2 linked regions of the Struthio camelus genome follow. The protein of the gene in region 1 binds, or shares a complex with, the protein of each later gene. Links are inferred from orthologs where the notes say so. Each region holds a gene or a part of one and is shown in the gene's direction. Other genes may lie near its edges.

Evidence for each region. Proteins that work in one complex are often made in the same cells at the same time.
Region 2: the proteins of NCAPH2 (region 1) and NCAPG2 are in contact, whole or in part, in a cryo-EM structure (PDB 9F5W), measured with the Homo sapiens proteins. The link is inferred for Struthio camelus from reciprocal best matches to the Homo sapiens genes NCAPH2 and NCAPG2. Residues at the interface, in NP_689512.2 of Homo sapiens: Pro316, Trp317, Gln318, Ser319, Leu320, Pro322, Phe323, Asp324, Ser325, Leu326, Glu327, Ser328, Lys329, Pro330, Phe331, Lys332, Lys333, Gly334, Arg335, Pro336, Tyr337, Ser338, Val339, Glu344, Gln360, Asp361, Phe362, Gln364, Trp365, Tyr366; in NP_001268861.1 of Homo sapiens: Lys248, Leu251, Gln252, His292, Ile294, His295, Leu296, Pro297, Arg299, Ser300, Val302, Lys340, Ala341, Arg342, Asn343, Ser344, Glu345, Val346, Pro388, Tyr389, Pro390, Arg393, Gly425, Glu426, Ala428, Phe429, Asp430, Thr431, Ser432, Arg437.

The regions. Positions count from the first base shown.
Region 1 is NC_090942.1:745,742-755,300, reverse strand, and holds the start of NCAPH2 (condensin-2 complex subunit H2), read left to right. Parts: upstream 1-5,484; 5' UTR 5,485-5,612; intron 5,613-7,018; exon of another isoform or gene 7,019-7,272; intron 7,273-8,077; 5' UTR 8,078-8,089; coding exon 8,090-8,197; intron 8,198-8,732; coding exon 8,733-8,834; intron 8,835-9,318; coding exon 9,319-9,374; intron 9,375-9,559. Other genes in the region: LMF2 (lipase maturation factor 2), read right to left, coding at 410-438, 2,542-2,795, 5,314-5,410. UniProt on the Homo sapiens protein: Regulatory subunit of the condensin-2 complex, a complex that seems to provide chromosomes with an additional level of organization and rigidity and in establishing mitotic chromosome architecture.
Region 2 is NC_090943.1:11,768,851-11,779,167, reverse strand, and holds the start of NCAPG2 (condensin-2 complex subunit G2), read left to right. Parts: upstream 1-6,118; 5' UTR 6,119-6,214; intron 6,215-6,475; 5' UTR 6,476-6,538; intron 6,539-7,199; exon of another isoform or gene 7,200-7,215; 5' UTR 7,216-7,245; coding exon 7,246-7,320; intron 7,321-10,317. UniProt on the Homo sapiens protein: Regulatory subunit of the condensin-2 complex, a complex which establishes mitotic chromosome architecture and is involved in physical rigidity of the chromatid axis.

The DNA.
Region 1 (9,559 bases):
CTCATGCACCCCTTGGGGCAGCGAGGGCTGCGCTGGGACCAAGACCCCAGGGGCTGCCATGGGGTGGCAACAAGCTGCCTGACCTGCTACCCCCTTCCAAAGGCAGCAACCCAGGTCACCAGCGTGCCCATGGGACACAGCCCTCCCGCCCACCATTCCCAACCCCCTGAGGACCTGGGGCTTGTGCACACCCCGCGTTCATGGGGCCCAGGCCCAGCTGCAGCAGTGCAACACGGGTAAGGTGGTTTCTCCAGCTCTGTTCAGCGTGGAACGAGCGCTGCTCTGAACCACGAAGCACAGGGTGCTCCGTACTGCCACACGTCCCGAAGCTGATATGCCCCATCCAGGACCGACACTCGGCTCCGGAGGGGCAGGCCCGTTGGGAAAGCCATGCCGGAGGCTCACTTACCACTGGAAGTACAGGAACACCTGTCCCACCTGTGGAGAGAGGGAGCATGGAGCAGATTAGCAGGGCTGGGGAGCTCCGTGCAGCAGACACACTCGCAGGCTTTGCTTCTGGACCCTTCCCAACTCCCACCCCATGGAGAGGGAGTTAGAAAGGCCAAGGGGCAGCTGTGACTTTCTCTCAAGTGCTTTCCCAGCAACGATGCCAGCTCCTTTCCCATGGCTGGCCACGAGCCAAACCCATCGAGCAGAGCTGTGGCCTCAACATGCTGCTGAGAGCTGCTGTACCACCGCGGAGGCTGCCGGCCAGGGCAGAGGAACGAAGGGGATGCTCCCAGGTCAAACGTGCCAGTGAGGCAGCAGTGCCAAGAACCACAGCCCAGGACAGGCTCAGCTCCTCTACGTGGAGCCGTGCTCCAGGTATGCGGACATCACTTTGTCAGATCAAGGCAATCTCCTGGCAAGCAGAAAGGAGGCGGGGAAGGGGGAAGGATGGAGACCTGTCCGGGGAGCCCCAGGCTGCAGGTCAGGACCGGGGGGGCTGCAGAGGAGCCCTGCTCCACCCTGACTTGCTGCACGGGTGCTTGCAGCCCCAGGGCTCTGCACCTCCTGCCCGCCGATGCTTCAGCCAGGCCTAGAGGGAAGCACTGGCAGAGCAGCACTCGACAGCAAACCAGGCTGCAAACCCCGCTCACACCAGTGCAGAGCGCTGCAGGCACGGGTCAGGGCCTCTCAGAGGGGAGGGAGGCTTGGAGCTCTGGAAAGGAAAAGGGACTTTCTTCTCCAGCATCACCTTAAAAGGGAATGGTGAGGGCCTGGCACGCCTGGGGCCGGCAGGAGGCCGTGCTGGGAGCACGCCACACTCCCAGAGCAGCACAGCACCCTCAGCACGGCCCTGGTCATGCCGGCAGGACTCCCCGCTCCGACAGAGCGGCACTGGGGAGACAGAGCCCCTGCAGACGGGGGCCCACGGGGCCGCCCATTACCCAGGGCTTCCTGGCTCTGGGCAACCACCGCTTCCTCTCCCTGCTGTAGCTGGGGACGGCAGTGAGTCATCGCCAGAGCCCAGGCTCCCCCCACCCCGTCCCTCCTCGGGCCTGACACAAGGGCCAGGCTGGCGGGGCCATGGGGCCGCCTGCACGAGGGGAGCACAGAAAACCGCTCACAGCAGCTCTGTGGGGCACGGCTGCCCCGTGCCAGGGAGGCTTGTGAGTGAGACGGAGGCGACAGGGCAGGGGACAGCAACAGCACTGCAGTGGCAGTGCCAGCTCTCTCCAGGAAAGCCCCCGACCACAGGAGAAACCCATCTCCCTTGGACCAGCCACTTTGCTTCCCAGGCTTCCCAATCCCTTTCCCTGCAGCTGTCGCTGCCATGAAAGGGATCGTTCCCGAGCCCCAGCAAGCAGGAGACTGCCAAGAGCTGCAGCCAACGTCCTGGGCTGCTTTCCAACCAGGCTGCCAAGCAGGACCTTGGGAGAGCTCCTGCTGTGCAGCACTCCTGGGGTTAATGCAGACATCTGGCCCAGGAGGGATTTCCAAGCACAGCTGGTTTTCTCTTTATTTCCCCTGGTTTCAGAAGGAAGAGAAACCCTCCTCCTCCAGCAGCCTGTGCGTGCAGCCTTCTGCCTCTCTGACTCACCCAAGCTCCTCAGCAGAGAGCTGCCAGGCCCTGGCAGTGAATGCAAACGGCTCGCAAGAGGGAGGGTTTGCGGCTTGTGGCACTGAGATTGTGAAACCCCCCACAGGAGCGGGGAAGGGACCAAGTGCTGCAGCAGCCTTGCTCAGCCTAAGCTCACGGACCGCTCGGCAAGGCCACGAACAACCAGAGGACTGAGCCGTCCTGCCAAGGCCCAGCGTCGTAGGAATTGGCTCCAGACCCTTGGGCAGATCTGGGAGCTTTTTACCCCAAGGAAGGTCTGGGAGCTGAGATGGAAGCATATCTGCCTGCAAGATCCTGAGATCTGGGGAGCAGCCAGCACCGTCCCCCAGCTCGGAGAGCACGTGGGCAAGCAGAGCTGAACGTGGTCAGGAGCTCACGTGAGAAAGTTTCCCCTTCCCCAGCACATTGCCCTGATGGGTCCCAGCTTTGACTCCCCCAGGGTGCTGTGAGCCCCCCTTGGCACACCGCGCCCATACCTGGTAGACTGAGAGATAGAGCATCCTGAGCAGGGCGAAGACGAGGCTGTCCCGCAGGGGCTCGAACACCAGGGCGCCGAAGGAGGCCAGCACGCCGACGAGGCAGAGCAGCTCCATGCCCAGCTCCGTGTCCAGGCCCAGGCGCGGGCTGAGCCACAGCAGGGTGGGGAAGTCACGCAGCTGCTCCCAGAGCCCCTTCCCAGTGAAACGCAGCATCTTGCGAGCCGGCAGGATGCCATCTTTCCCGTACAGCCCTGGGGAGGGCAGGGAAGGACTGTCACAGCAAGGTCACAGCTCCCCACAAGGACACATATGCTCTCTAGGACACCCCAGCCCCACATGGTCCCTCTTGCACTCTCTCGGACACACCGCGCAGTCCCTAGGGCCTCAGCCCCTTCGTGCAGGCTGCAGCTCTCGGGCTGCCCCCAGCAATGCTGCTCCCGGCTCCTAACACCCCCCATGCCCCAGCAGAACTGGGCACCCCGGTGCATCCACATCAACAGGCAGGGGCTCCCGCAGAGACCCCCCTCCAGGAGCACGCCTGCCCTAGGACGATCTCCAGTCCTGGAGGGAAGCAGGGCTTGCTGCTCCTGCACGTTGCCCTTTGCCCAGGGCAAAGGCAGCCCAGAGCAAGCGCCAAACCCCCCGAAAGGGAAAGAACCGGCAGCGGGAAAGGCCCACGGGGAGCTCGGCAGCTGCCAGCGAGCCAGGAGAGGAGCTGCCAGCAGGGAGGGAGAGGAGGGCTCTCCCGCTGAGCGCGCAGCGCACGGCAGCTCCGACCAGCCGGGAGCTGGGTGGGCGGCGGAGACCCACGCGGGAGCGGGGCAGCCCAGCGGGGCCCCAGGAAGGGCCGTCCTGCTGCCCTAGTCCCTGCCCTCTCCCAAAAGGCGGTCAGGCCCTCCTGCTCTGCGGGACCGTGCGAACGAAGGGCGCGACCCCCCTCCGAAGGGGGGAGGGCTGACAGCAGCAGCTCCCGCTCCCCCAGCCCGGAGCTAAGCTGCTTCGACACGGTACTCGCAGCAGGGGAGAACGTGGCCGCTCACCTGGCCTCGGGCCAAACCCACTGGCAGGAAAGCAGGAAAACAGGCCTTGAGTTGGGCTGCGAAGCGAAGGCTGGGGCAGAGGGAAAGCCCAGGCTGCCGGAGCAGGTGGCACAGCCCCCACGGCAGGGTTTTGGCAAAGCCTGGCACCGGCCTGTACCCAGGCCGGGCACGGGGACGGCAGGGGATGGCCCTGCATCCTCGGTGCACTCAGCATCGCCTCACCCCGGACCCGGATGGGTGCAGGGCGCCCAGGATCCGGGGGCCCACGGCAAAGGCAGGTCGCGGCCCCGGCCCAGCTCAGCCCCAGTCCTCCTCGCTCTGGCCGCGCAAGGGCTCTGGCGGAGCGAGGACGCCCCGGCCAGCCCTGCCAGCGCGCGGCCGAGGGACACTCGCAGCCGCTCTGCATCCCCCGGCAAGCGACCGTCCCGGCTCTCCTCGCCCCTGGGGTGAGAAGCCCCAGACACGCTCCCCAGCCCGAGCTCCGCTCGCGTCTTGGCGCGTTCCTGCCTGCGGCTCCGGCACGACCTCCAACTCATCCCTCCTTACTGGTTCAACAGGAGAGCCTGTAACTCCCTCAACATCGCTAACACCCCCAAAACAGTCCCCCGGTCCCCTTCCTCGAGGGCCCTGCGGGGCCACCACCGGCCGCAGGGTTCCCCAGGCTCGGGGGGGGGGGTCTCTCTCCCTCCCCAGTCCGGCCGCACCGCTCCGCGCCCCGAGCTCGGAGGCGACCCCTCTCCCGGGCGGCGGGCGCTGCCTGGCCGTCGCCTGCCCGCGTCGCCGCTCTCCAGGCCTTCCTCCGACCTTACAGCAACGCCCTTCGAAGGCGGCGCGAGGAGGACGTGGCCGCGAAAAGGCGCGGGCAGGCCGGGGCGTCCCGCTCGCCCCAGCCCGAGCCCCCCGACCGCCCCGCGCGGGGGTCTGCCCTGCGGGTGGCTCCGCTCCCCAGGCCCCGCGCCGGGCACAGGCTCTGCGCCCTCCGGCCCCGCGCTCGGCTCGGCCCGCCGGCGTTTCCGAGACGCGGCTCCGGCGCTGCCTCCCTCCCCAGCGGCCCCGGAGCCTTCCCCCCGGCTGGCAGCGCCTCGGCCTCCCTCCCCCGGCAGCAAGGGCCGGGACGGCGGAGGCAGCCGGACGGCGCTTGGCCCCGCGCCGGCAGGAAAGCCACGCCGGCAGCGATTTCTTCCAGGCACGTTCCTGCTTCTCCGCGCAGCCGGGAGCGGAGGCGTCAGGAAACCACAGGCTGCGGCGGACGAGTCCCGGGCCGCCGGCAGCCCGGCGGAGCGGCTCGAGAGGCGGCCGGCGGCCACGGTGGCGGGAGGCGTGCCCAGCCGCGGCCCCCGCTCCACCTTGCGGGCTGCCCGGGGCCGAGGCCGCGCGCGGGCACCGAGCTCCCGGGGCCGCGTAACGGAGCGGCTGCTCCGGCCTCTCTGCTCGCAGCCTGGCGGCCCCCGAGGGTGCCCCCCCCCCCAGCCCCGGATGAGGGTCACCCCCCCCCCCGCAGCCCCGGTGCCGCAGCCGGTCCCCCCGCCCCCGCACGGCACCGGGGCCCCGTCACTCACCCCGACCCCGGTTCCCCCCCCACCCCCGGTCGCACCCCTCCCCAGCCCCCTCCCCGGCCCCGGTTTCCCCCCGCCAACTGGGCCCCCCCCGGCCCCGGTGCCCCCCCCGGTCCCCGCTGCCGCCCGCTCCCCTTCGCTGCGGGCGCGGTGCCGGCGCCCCGCGGCCGTACCGGGGATCTGGACGTAGAGCGAGGCGAAGGCGGCGAGGTAGACGGCGGCCAGCCCGGCCAGGAACAGCTGCCGGGGCCGGCGCGGCGGCTCCCCCATGGCGGCGGCGGCGGCGGCGGCACCGACACGTCCGCGCCCGCCTGCCGCCGCCGCCACGACGTCACCGCGCCCCGCCCCGCCCGCCGCCGGCGTCACTTCGGGCGGGAAGCACGAAATGGCGGCCGGGAGCGGGGCCGAGCGCCGCTGAGGGGAACTGCCCCGGGGGAGCGCGGTGCCGCCCGGGACCCCCCACCCCCGCCAGGTGAGCGTGGTACCGCCCGGGACCCCCCCGCCGGGTGAGCGTGGTACCGCCCGGGACCCCTCACCCCCGCCGGGGGAGCGCGGTGCCGCCCGGGACCCCCCCGCCAGGTGAGCGTGGTACCGCCCGGGACCCCTCACCCCCGCCGGGGGAGCGCGGTGCCGCCCGGGACCCCCCCGCCGGGTGAGCGCGGTACCGCCCGGGACCCCCCCGCCGGGTGAGCGCGGTACCGCCCGGGACCCCCCACCCTCCCGGGGGAGCGCGGTGCCGCCCGGGACCCCCCCGCCGGGGGAGCGCGGTACCGCCCGGGACCCCCTCCACCCCGCCGGGGTCGGAGTGATGGGGGAGGCGCCGCAGCACCCGTAGCGCGAGTCGGGGGGGGGGCCCGGGCCGCGCTGGACGCCCTCGGGGCCCGGCGGGCCGCAGGCGGGGGGGGGGGCCCGGGCCGCAGGCGGGGGGGCCCGGGCCGCAGGCGGGGGGGCCCGGCGGGCCGCAGGCGGGGGCGGGGGGGCCCGGCGGGCCGCAGGCGGCTGCCTCCGGCAGAGCTGTTCTCCGGAGGAGCCGGTCGGAAGGGCCGCAGGTCGGGGCGCCCGGCCGGTGCGAGCCCCGGTGGACCTCTTCTGACCCGGTCCGGAGCCGGCCTACGGGGCAGGTTTCTGCGCGGTGCCGGGGTTCGTAGTTTAGCCGCCGTTTCCCGGTGTGAGCGGAGAAGCGAGGCTCGCTGGGAGCGGGAATAACTTCTGTAGGAGCCACTGGTGAAGCGGAGGGTAGGCGGAGAGGTAAACAGGTGGCGTCCGCCTTGCTTTGCGCCTCCGGCAGCCCGGCTCTCCCTTGCCCCTCACCTCTGTCACTTCATCTAATAAAAGGTGTCGTCACCGCATCAGGGACTCGGACCAGAGAGGTGGGAATCTGGGCTCTGCTCCCTTGGGCCGCGCTTCTGCGCTGCGAAGCGCGTTTGATGTCTGTCTCCTGCCTGTTGTGGGGCTCCTGTCCTCAGAGAGAGCCCACGCTCGCACAGTTCCTCAGCAATCCTTCCTCGATGGAGTAAAGCGTGTGCTTTCCTCCTACTTCGCGTAGCTGATTATCCCCCGTAAAACGCAGGCAGAAGCGCCAGGGTGGCCTCGGCCCCTGGCAGGAGGGGGGCGGTACGGGCTGTTCCTGGAGCAGCAGGACGTTGTCCGCAGAGGGGCAGCCGGCGCAGAGCCCTCCGCGTGTTAGCGCGGTGCCGCTGCCGCGATCGTTGCTCTCACGCGTGTTGGGTTTGCGTTCCCAGGAGCGGGGCGCAGCGGGTGTTTGGAGGGGAGCAGGGGGTTGAGCGTTCGTCTCTGCAGCCAGTTTTGATGGAGCGTGATAAGCGTGGCACAGCGTTGTGCCGACTAGCTTGGGGTGACACGCGCGTGTTTCTTCAGGAGGCTTTGATGCTGTATCGGGGAGCAGCCAGTGACCTCCTGCGAAGTGAGAGACCGTCTCCCCTGTCCCTGTGTCGTGAGCTTTTTATTTTCATATTTATAGCTATGTTTCTTTGGCCTAACTGCGATTTAAAAGGACAGAAGACGAAACGTTTACTGGTCCCGTTCCCTATGCTGCTGTGGATTTCATCCGTATAGTGCTGATAGTCTTGCTGGGGGGAGTGCAATTTCTGTCTGCTGTTGTGGAAATAGGAGTAAGTGTCTGGGATGTTCCTCTGAAATGAATGCGTTTCCTAATGATCCCAGCCGTAGAGTCTGCAGTTCTGGATTCACCTGCACCACCCCACGCAAGACCTGCTGGAGAGCCCAGAGAGATGCTGGAGTCCGCCCTTAGTTGCGGATTACTAGATTTGGGTTGTAAGCCCAAGTTACTAGGTTTGGGCTGTAAATGTTTGCAGGAGGTGGTTCGTTAGCGCACAAATCATTACTCCCGTGAATACTTTGTTGACTTTGGTGCAGCTCTTCCTGCATGTGAAGTTACACTTGGACATCTGAGCAGGCAGAAGCTGGGCAGGGATCTCCTGTAGTTCTGTGTAAGGAGTCTGTAAGTTCAGTCAATGCCTCCTGGTTCCTGCTCCGGACAAACTGTATGGATGGTAGTGTTTACTGTTGATGTTTGTCCGAGAATGGCTTGAAAGTTATGTTTGGCTTTCTAGCTGATGTTGTGCTCTCATTTACCTACAGGTGTTTGATGAGATAATAGAAGACATTTGTTTCCCACTTGGGAAACTTACGTGCTAGTCTGGTTTTAGTCTGGTTTTTGTGGGGTATATTTAGTTACAACATTTATTTCTATTGAAATTGAAAGATATCAGTTGACTCCAGGTTCTTACAATAGCTAACTACCCTAAGACTGAAGCTGCGCTTGGCTCTAAGTGAATGGTGACGCATCAAACTTCAACTCTGGGATTACAAACAGCATTCGTCAAGAAACAGGTTATTCAGTGATCCTGTGGGTCTGCCCGTCTGCCGAGTGAGCTGTAACCTCTGCCTTTCCAGGGATCGGTCGCCATGGAGGATGTGGAGTCGCGCTTCCTGCACCTCCTGCAGCCCATTCGCGATCTCACCAAGAACTGGGAGGTGGATGTGGCTGCTCAGCTGGGGGAGTACCTGGAGGAGGTAAGGGAGGCTCTCTGTTCACCACAGTGCTGTGGTGGGAGGAGAGCTTTGTGTAGAGATGCCCCTCAGCACGGCCTGCGCAGCTGGGGTTTCCGTCCTTCGCTGTCCCGGCAGTCCCTTGGCTGCGGCACCGACACTGCAACCCTCGCCCGTCTCAGGCTGCAGGGCAGCGCAGCCGTGTTGTCACCGATCTAGGCTTGCGATGGGCTGAAGTTCGAGGATGTTATCTAACAGCGTTTGCAGCCACCCCTTTTGAATTCCCCCTGTTTTTGTGGTGGCACTAGGGACCATGCTCCCCACAGCGCAGCCTTGGCTGGAGAAGTGAGATTATTGACAGAAAAGCTCTTCTCAGGCTACTGGGAGCGGAAGAACGTATTCTCTCTCTCTGCATTTACTTATTACATCTAGTCCCTCGAATACTATGTTAGGCATCTTGCTATGATTTTTCTCTCTTAACTTTCTCCTCTTGCTGTGCTGTCCTCAAATCCAATCTGCACATCAGCGTTTTGCTTTCCTCCTTTTGTGTGTTTTGCAGTTGGACCAAATCTGTATTTCCTTTGACGGCGGCAAAACCACCATGAATTTCATAGAAGCAGCTCTGTTAATCCAGGGCTCTGCCTGCATCTACAGTAAGAAGGTGAGAAAACGGGCAGTAACTGCCATGTCCTGGTCTTAGTTCTGCCACTTTGTCCACTCAGTGATCCCTCAGCTGGTGTTTCTGAGACTGAAGCTTGTTCGCAAGGGAAGTTTCCCTTGATTTTGAAAAAATTAAACATAAAAATGACTCGCCGATCTGAAAGGGTATAAATCTGTAATTTCCAAATTCACCCCTTCTATATGTGTGGGGAATGGCAGCCCACAAAAGTCTGGGAAAAGACAAGAATTTTGCTGTTGAGCACTTTTTTTTTTTTTCTGGAGAGTGGAAAACAAAAAGAACTGCTTCCCCAAACCTAGACTCAAAGTGGCTTGAATAATAATGAGAATAATGGGATTATCAAGTAATTGAACTTTAGTTATCTGGGGTGGAGAGAAGAGGGCTGTGGTTCCTCGTGGCCTCAGTTGCAGTAGTCTTTCTAGGAACTACTTTTTCTTTCTCCAAAAGTCTTGGCCTTATTTTGTAGGTGGAATATCTCTATTCTCTGGTCTATCAGGCACTTGACTTCATTTCCAACAAAAAGTAAGTAAAGATCTCCTTTTTTTTTTTTTTTTTTTTTTTTTTTGGAAAGACATCCCTTGCTAAGGGGTCAGGACTGTGATCTCCCAGCATGACTTCACTGTTTTAGTTGCGCACAATAAGACATGCTTCTCCTTTGCTGCTCTTGGCCCCTTTGTCCTTCCCCTGCTGTCTTTCCTGCTGATGTT
Region 2 (10,317 bases), on another chromosome or scaffold:
TCATCAAAACGAAGAACTTAAACTGTTTCAATCCTTGTCTTTCACATAGATGACAAATGAAATGAAAGATGTTAAAAACAAGGTGATGAAAATGGCTATTCATGACTTATAGAATGATATTTATAGCAATGCTCATTCTTTACATTTTATTAGGCAAATCATAAAGCTTAGTTAGGTTGCAGGTAAAATAAATAGGACTTGAAGGTTTAAATAGTAAGATGAGCTTTTTGAAAAGAGGTATAAATCTTTGAATTTTGGGCAACTTTGTTCTAAGACAGCTTTCACTGTATTTAATGTCCTTTTTCTAGTTATTATTGCTTACAAAGCATTTTAGTTTTACTTCTTGTCTTTCACAGACAGAGTGAAAAAAATCACTCTGTGATTTTATCTGTGAAATCAGACTTTTTTGGATTTATAGAAGTTTTTGAATTTATGCTTATTAGTGCACAATTTTCCTTTTCTGAAGACATCCTTATTTTCCACTAGATGGTGGTGTAGACCCTTATGTCAAAAATCTTTTTTGCTTTCTGTTCACTTTGTTTCTTGTACAGTAACAAAGTGGTCTGGATCCTCAGCACTTTTGGGAGTGGAGCATGAACTAATCCTAGCTTAAAAGCAGTGAACAACTGGCAGTCTCCTCATTGCACCCCACTCTCCTCCTCTGCTCAGTGCACAGCTGATACTAACAACACTGAGTTTTGTAATGAGGTTAATAATAATACCCTAGTCAGTTTGCCAAAATATTTTTATGAAACATATAGTCGTGATGCCCTAGGAAATAAAACAACTGGTACATGTAATTCTGCGATCTGAAACTTCTGGAAGATCAAATTTTGAGTTCACAACAAATTTAGTATGCATCTGTCAGCAATTCTCTTAGGTGTTTCATGCCTTAGGTATTTGGCCTATAAAATTAAGAGTTGATTATAATAGAACTCTGTAGAGGAGGTAGCACAACTTCAGTAAGATGTCGTGCAAAAACTTGAAACCAGTCAGAGGCAGGCAGAAGTCAAATTACAGATCTTAGTAGTTTTAAGACATGAGTGAGGACGTCAGTCTTCACTGATATATTTGAAACACAACCACGCTGTAAGTATTTATTTCCACTATTGGTAGAGTAGTTCAAGAATGAGGCTAGAAACTCAGGGTATCTAACAATAATGAAATCCATCTGGGAGCAATACAGTAAACACATGGGAAAAAAGATTTTTAAAGGGAAAGACAACACTTCTTCTACTAGAAGAAATACCTTACAAAACAGTCTTTTTTTTAAGCACATGATCAGAAAATATTTGCCAAGCCACATTGTCACAAGGTTCTTGTGATACTAAAACTGTTTGTTCTATAGAACAGGAATAAGTGACAGGTGTATCTAAACTAGGAAACTTGGAACACTTTCAAGTGCCTGACTCCAGATGCACTCTTGCTATATCCCACCTGAGACACCTGAGCAAGTATTACCCTCCCTCAGGTCCCTGTTTGCTAGCTTATGCACAAAGCAAACCAGGCATGAAGCCTCTAGGAAGAGCATGGTACGCTTCTGCTAAGTTCCTGATCTGGATTAGGAACGTGGGGAAGGCCAGTCTCCCAGCCTTGACAAGATCTACATTAACATAAGGGAGAAATAAATGTTGGTGCCTTAACCAACCAATGTAAAATAGTTTTATAACTATATATACATGTATATACACACAGATGTATGCACACACATATATTCATATATATTTATATAAGAGAAACTATTTTCATATATATGTGTGTGTATTTATGTGTGTGTGTGCACGTGTAAATTTATATAGAGAGAAGCAAATCACATCCATTCTGACATTTGTACAATGTATTCATGTTTTATACTAGATAGATGGAACAGTGATCATCTCCTATTTGATGGATGTCTACCACAATGAAGCCTTTAAGAGTGCTTTTAAAATTAATAGCAGTATTTATATACTTTACAAATGATTCTTCTCTTTATCCATAAAGCCTAAAATAGAACAAGGGTTGAAAGGAGACAAAACGCTTCCATGAGCTGTTTATCTCTAATGATTCATACTGTTAAAATCAATAGGATTAAATTAATTTAGACAGAGCAGATGTGAATGTAGCCTTTTGAATGTGAAAAAATAGACAAACTAGTATTATAAATTAACTCAGTGATACATGATATTCTGAAAGATGCTCGTGATTTTATACTAGAAAATGTTCATTGTAGTTATAATGAAAAAAGTGATACTCCTTGTTTGAAATATTCAATTTTTTTTTTTTATACACAGGTTTGCCTGTATTATATTTACAGTAGAATGAATTTAGCCGTGAAAGTGTTATGTAAGGATAATTTATTTTTGTTGGCATTTTACAGCATTTCAGAAGTCTCCTTTTCATTTGCATGGCACTAATCGTTAGCAGAGTAAAATTACTGTGATTTGTAACACCACCTACAAGGAAAGAAGTGTAAAAGTAAGAGCATGAACAAAGTTGGACTGAAATTCAACCTGGCGGGAAAAGCCCGTAAGACACCCAGCAGTACCAGCTAATTCCCACAGGGTGGCAGTTCAGTACTTCAGCAGCATCTAGAGTTACTCAAGGGAGCAGCTAGTCAGAAAAGCTTTTGCATTGCCTGTGAGCGTTTTATTTCCTTATATTTTTGTCGGAGTTAACAAGGACTTTTTTTTTCCTTCTGTAGTAAATGTTTTTTTTTTTCCCCCCACTTAATCTCTTAAACTCTAAAATCGTTTCCTGTTAATATTAATAATTTAAAGGAAGTAAGCAGTTTCAAGGTCTAATCACGCCACCATCGAAAACTGTCAGTTGCCTTTGAATAAAGGATGGCATGATTGACAGTATTACCTTCAGGCAAGGGGAGATCTGGAGAAGTAGAATAGCGGCAAACTTCATCTCTCTCCCATGCTGTTCAGATTATTTATCAAAGTATATGAAGATGAAAAAAAATCAAGGGAAATGAATGCATGTAAATTATTAACAGCCTGCCTCAGAGGATGAGCAGATTTTGTGGCTACCGTATTAACTATAACAAATTATATTATATATTCAAAAGAAAGGAAATGGGAGTAGCAATTCTAAAAGGTTAGCATATAACACATACAATGATCTCCTCAGAAACTATTATCTAGAAAATAACACTGTAAATAGGAAATAAAAATAACATAAATGTCAAGAAAGCACCTTGACACTCAGGGAGTAACTTGTTTATTTTTACAAGGATTTATAATGTTGAATCATACAGGTTAAAATAGAATATTTGATATAGTCCGAACTACGAGATTCTTGTGAAATCCATTTGTAATTGAGATCTGTTATACAGGCCACTGACAAGAAAAAAGAGTAGTTTATGATGAAGCAGTAGTACAAAAGCAAATCTTTATTTGCTGTTGCTCAGCAACCACGTGCGGAGGGCCCATTTTTCATTTTCACTTTAACTTGACTTGACAGGAAAATCATAATAAATACGAGATTATTATCAAAGGATATAGATTATTTTGAACAGATGAACAGACATGTCAAAAAGAGGCATGTAATTTAGTAGCTCTTGAAAGGCAGAAGATTAGGGAAACTGAAAATAGGGTTGTAGCTTCATTACTGGCTTACGGTTCATACACAATTCTTCCAGCCCTCCTCCCCAACCCCGAAAGACCCTACCAAACTCTATTCTGCATCTCTGGTTTCTCTACATGGTTCTTTAAAATGAATCTTTCAGTGTTACTCAGCCTGCTGTTATTTGTGTCAACTTTTAGTTTCCATAACATGAAAGAATCATTCCGTGGTTGCTATGCAACACAAGTCATAAGCTAAAATATGTTTTAGTTTGTTTGCTAAATGGATGTGTGCCCGACTAAATAAACAGTAACCAGGTGACTAATGTAGCATCTAATTAAAGGACTAATCAAGGTATTAATGAAAAATTCAGTCCACACGAGATAAGATAATCAAATCCATCAGTTCAGTTCTAAAATGCCAAAGATTTGTAATATATGCAAAAAGGATAGACATTAGCACAACAAATGTCCGTTTTCATACTTTTTATTTACTTTTACTACCGTACAAGCATGATGATTGCTCCTACAATGCATTTCAAGCAAACTGTTTCATGGCCTTCTTGCCCTTAGCTGACTACATAACTTAAACAAAAAAAAAGCAGGTCCATCAGATCTGAAATAACCCTGATCCTTCTTCCTTCTTTCCGCTGGAGCAGCAAAAGGCTCCTTTTGTGGGGGTGGGGGGCTGCTTCTGGAAGGCGATGCCTGCTGGCTGTCTCTGCCTAGGGCTGTAGGACAGATCCTATTTCAGGTGATCGTCCCAGAATCTCTCTCCTGGGACCCTTCTCTGTGGTTGCCAGTAGGTAGATGCTGGCAGAGATGCTGGTAGATGCTGTGGAGAGAGATATGTTTATTTAGATGTGGGAGAAGAGAAGGGGTAGCACTGAATTGTCAGCATGGGGAAGAGACGTTATGATGCTCAAGAGTAGTCTCCTGGCTGCTAATTCCTTCTGCCATATTGTCCCTTCCTTGAGTAGATGACCAACTTAATTAAAAATTGCAAATAGTACAACCCATTCTCCAATTGATGCTTACAGTAATTTTTATCTGGCAAATAATTGCTTTATCTGGCAAAGAAGCTTTCTTCTAAAACCCAATGACTGCAGAAGTTTCACATACATTCTGCTAATGATTTAGGAATTTAAACAGCTTTTATCTTTGTTTTCAGTAACATTAGTCATCTGTTACAAACATTTTTGAAGCAATATAGAAGAGCATTAATTATACAGGATAAGCACCAAATAGATTTTATTTTTCATCTTGTAGTTTTGAAACTATGTAAAAAAAACAGTTAAAGAGCTTACTCAGAAAACGTCAAAAATTAAAACAGGAAGTCTTTCAGTCAAACATATATGGGAGAAAACGTTACTGTTGCAGTTTTGAGACATAGCAAGATTAAAGTGGATTGTACATAAAAAAGAAAAAACATTACCAAAAAACATAACTATTTCTTCAAAAAATAGTGATTTTGTACATATAATATTCTTAATTAAATGAAATCTGAATCTGATTTTGCTTTTTAAAATTACACTCTGGAAAAGTTCAGTCAGATGTGAGAACTCTTCTAGAAAGCGTTGATTCTATTTTTTGTTTGGAAAGCAAAGCAGCATATGCAGTACTACAGTCATACACTCAAAGTAAACAATTCCAGTCAAGCATCTAATTCTTCAGAACAGCTAAGAATGCTGGGAAATATTGAAAAATATAATGCTACTGGGAATGTAAAACTGAAAGATATAAATTAAGCCCTTAACGAGACAAAGTGACTATTTCCAGTTTGTAGAGGAGCTCCGACAGGACAGCGAACACAAGAGAATTGAAAGCTGTTCATGCTTAATTCAAGGAGCTGAGTCCAAACACTTCTGCCCACTGCAAAGTAAATTTGAAAAGAAACAAAAAGCACCTATTTCCAGATAGATTTTAAAAAGTAAAGCATTGTCAAACTGTTAATATCTTCCGGCCCGCATACTTCCCCATACCTTCTGCTGGGTAACCTGCTTAGCTTTTTGCTGCTTTGGATGACAAGTACATAAGGCCTGTAGTAGTGTTCACTGTGACCGAGATTGAAAGCGTAGCTGTCAACACTAGCCGTTAAGAACATTTTCTGAGAAAAAGCCAATGTAATCAACTGGATGCTGAGTGCTTTCTGAGTAAATAGCACATGTTTTGGTAAGAATACTGTGTCACTGCCACCCCAGATCCATGGAAGAAGGCATGCTGTTTCTTCAGCATATAAATGAATTTAATTAAACGTGTCTTATCCCATTTTGAAGGGGTTGTGAGTTATGAGATGGCTGCAGGAAGACAACCGTAGGCTCGTACGTAGATCTACACCTCGCCAGCTTCTTCGCAGTAACCGATCCGTCGCCTCTTCAGTGAAGGAGGGGGAGGGCAACTAACTAACGGCTGCGCCGGCGCGCGGAGAGGGGCGGGGCCGCAGCCACGCCCTTCCCGCCGCGGCGCCGGGGCCCCGCCCCGCCCCGCCCCGCCCACGGCCGGCGCGCGCCAGCGCCCCCGCCCGCTCGCAGTGGGGTTGCGAGGGAGGGGCGGTGGGTGAGCTCTCGCGAGACGGGAGCGGCGCGCGCCCGCCTGCGCCCAACGGTTGCCGCGGGAGAGTTCGAAACCGCCGGGAGAGCGCGCGGCGGCGGCGGCGTGTCTGTGTGAGTGCGAGCCCTGGGCGGGCGGGCGGGCAGGGCGCCGAGGCCGGGGCAGGAGGGCTGAGCGAGGTGCCATTCCGTCTCTGAGCACCCCCCGGGGCTGGTGCCTCGTCCGGCTCTGGGGAGAGGCGCGTTAGTGGCGCGGCGGTTGCACGGACACCATTTTCTTGGGCAGTGCTGCTGGGATACTCGGGCTTGCGCTCCTTTGCTTCACTGCATTTAAATAGTGAGGTCGCCTTTTTTGTTTTTCTCCTGTGTGAACAGCCAGAGGTTTTTGGAAGCTTTACCTATGGATCCATGAGGATTTTTTTTCTGTGATAGTGCCAGGTAAGCCGCCCTGGCAACTTGCCACTTACTTCCTCTCCTGTTCGGGGTCGTACAGCGGTCTGTGGGGCCATGCAGTGCGCCTGGCAAAACGTAAATTACTAGTTAATTTGGATCAGTTCCTCATCATCCAGATCATGGCTTCACAGACGGGCACGTTTGAGAGAAAGCAGCAGAGGCTGTGTAAGGTCGTCTTACAGCTGATAGGGGTAGGAAAAGCTTCTCAGGAATCACTTCGGATGGAAAGTTGCATGTGAGTTAAGCTCTTAGTGTTAACAAGTGATCTTGCCGGTTTCCCATGGCCTTTTCTTGACAAGGCAGAGAAGGAGGGAACCTTTCCAATAAGTAAATGCTGCTGCCTGGACTGATGGATAGCTAAATAGGGGATGTGTGCTAGAAAAGTTATTCTTGTTAAAAGTGAAAGCATCAGTTAAAAAATTTACTTTTAAGACTCTCCTATTTAATAAATAAAGGTATTAAAAACACTACTTACAAATACTAGGGTCTTGTGCAGTTATGAATCTAAACCCTATAAATCAGTTTAAGGGGAGGAAGAGTGTCTTATAATGACTTGGATGAAAAATGTGAGTTTTTAATACTTTTTAAATACATTTTCATTGGGTCCAAGAAAGATCTTATTGTGAGATGCAATACTCTTCTCTAGTGTTTTTTTCTTTTAGGTTTATAACGCAAGGAAAAGAAGGACCATAATGAAGCGTGAAGCATTTTTACAAGTTGTGTCTAAGGACTCAATTGAAGAATTCTTGCGTTTTACTCAGATTCCTGTAAGTAAACCACGATACACGTTCATGACTAAGTCTATTAAGAGTGCACAAACTTTTTGTTTCAGAGGGGCAACAAAATTTTTCTCCGATACTTTTGTATGTGCTAGAATAATGGCAGGTAGGCAGATATAGTATCACTGTTGCAAAAAATGGCACTTAATGGAGCATAGTTGAAAAAGTTGAGGAATTTGAAATTTTTCCTGTGTTGTAAAACAGCCTGTTTTTTAATACTTGGTTGTTGTATATAGCTTGCAGTTTTAAAATAATGATTACTGCAACAATAATACTAGAAAATATTCATCTGATACTGATAAAGTTTTTTTTTTTTAAATGTTGACCTGTAAAAGAGTAAATTTGTTGCTGTATAATCAATGCGAGCTAATATACAGGCATAGCAAAGGTATGTTTCATTAGCATTTGTTCATCGGTTTGATAGTTTAGGCTCTCTACTTCTTTTTTTGTTAATATACAATTGTATTTAATAGTTCTTTCTATCACTAAATGTTCTAGAGATGTGATAAAGAGTCATAGATTGCTGCCTCTAAATGTAGTATGGAGAGAAGTAGGGGGAGGAACAAAACGAATCCAGTGAAATCTACTAATTAAAAGTTCATTCTCCTTTTGTGCATGCAATATCAAAAATAACAATTTGCATTGTGGTATTTTCCACTAAGTTTTAATCTGGTATTAAGACATGCTAGTTCTCCTGAACATCTCTTGCTAACCTTAATAGATGATATTGTCATGTTTGTTTCTTAAGTTTTCTCTCTAGCAGCCTCTCTGTTCTATTATATAAAGTACAATATTGTGAAGAGAGGATCTTGAAGCTTTTTCTACTTTACTGTCTGTATATATTGAAAGCTAAAGATATACATGTTTATTTTTAAGACTTAGTTTTAATTCTACAACTTAAAAGGCTTTGTCAGATATCTCTGCTTTTTTACGCTAACTTTTTCTAATGCTGCTTCACTTCTCATTGTTTTGCCAACATCCCTATCTACCTACCTTTTATCATCCTCTTTTAGATACTAATAAAATAACACATAGATCTTTATTAATAAAGTCTTTTATTCAGTCTCAACTAGTATTTGTTTTTGTCTTTTCCTGATCTAACCAGTATTTTCCTTATGTTCCCTTTGTCGGGATAAAGTAAGTGGTACAGCTGTACTCTGTCCATCAGGCCACCAATTAATTTACTAATGTAGTATAGATATGAAACCTATCATGTTAATTTACTAATGTAGTATAGATATGAAACCTATCATGTCTAGAGAAGATATCATGCACCGCGTAATAAGCTTAGAATTGTTTGTCTCCTAAACCTCATTTAGAGTCTCTTTGTCTAAGTATTTTGTGAGCTTTTCAGTTGCGCTCCTGTGTGTAACTCTAGATGACAACTTTATTAGCAGATTGCCGTTGTTTGAAATCTCCTCCTTGCCATTATTTTCCCACTTCTCCCCAAATCACTTTGAAAATAAATTATCCTGTTTAGGATAACTTAGGATACTTCCTAAGCTTCCTTGCTGATGGTCATGTTGTTTCTGCCTTCTCCGTTCACTAACCTATCTTGACATACCTCTTGGTCTGTTCAGATTAAAAATTGCTTTTCCATCCCTATACCTTGAAGAACAATATGGTGTGTGTATCACTATTTTTCATCGCCAGTTCACAAGAGTTGTCTTGCAACTGTATACAGCTATCTTTATTGCTTGTGAAACTGAATCACTGCCAAAAGAGAGCCCTTTAGTGTTTTTAGAAATAAAATGATTGATTTGTCTATTTTGCCACAGATTATTAGCCTGTATCCTTTTTGTTTCTAGGTTACCCCTTGCCAGTATTTCTGGAAACTGATTATCACCAACTGTAAAGAATGTACTGATTAAAACTGCCTTCACTCCTTCATGTTATAAGAGCACAGGACTATCCAGATAATTTTTTCATTGTCTAACAGACCTGAGTTATTTTATTCATTTCCTCTCCATACTTTCAATGGAGAAGAATATCTGACCATGTCTCATCTTAGGAGTGAACACATTCCTAAAATAATTCTTAACTTCATTTCTGGAGGAGGCTGTGGTGGTATATTCTGTTCTTTAGAAGCTGATGTGTAGGTATGGAAAGGAGAAAGGCTGATTAGAGCCTCTCTGCTTTCCATGCTTTTCATATTGTATTTGTGCAGGTGGAACTAGGGTTCTACCTATTTTGTGCTCTAGCTTCAGAATTTGCCTTTCTTCGTTAAAATAAAGTTTTCTTTTTGGCATTGCATATCTCTCTCATTCTTCCCTTTCTTTTAATCTTCTTTTTCCTTCCTCTCATTGTTTTGTTTGATTCAAATCTTCTAAAATTCTAGGGATTTGCTACTTTCCTTTTGTTTGCTTTAGGCTTTGCTGTTTTCTTCTTTTTGGTTTTAAAAGGTTGCTATTATATATTATGGTACTACTTCTCAAAATCTTTATGAAATGCTATTAAATTTTCTTCTAAATTCTCTTCCAATCCAAGAAAATACAATCTCTCTTAGCCATATATGTGATTTGTATTTTCTTTTCTATCATTCAGTGGCATCCTTTTCCCTAATAGGTTTTAGAATAATTCTACCTCGGCTCATCCCAAGGAAAGATCAAAAAGCTCTAGTGTTATTATGAATACGTTCTTTTTGTTCAAAACAGTGCAATCTTAATATCCTATCTTTTGGGTATGTTTGAAGCAGAGGCCTGCAGAACAGCCTGTGCAGCCTTCGGTTTATTGTATTTGTTTCCAGCTGTACAGTGAAATAGGCATTCTGCTATAAATGTGTAACAGGATCTTTCTTCTCTTAGCCTTTTGGGAACCTTCTAATTCTAACTGCTACTTCTTTCATTATTTTCTGTTTTTCTTTTTCCCTTCAACTTTTTTTATTTTTGATTCTTTTTTTAATTACGTTTGCAGACTAAAATATTTTTATTTCAAGATCATTGACCTTCTCCCTCTTTCCTACGAAATATTTCTAATCCTATAGAC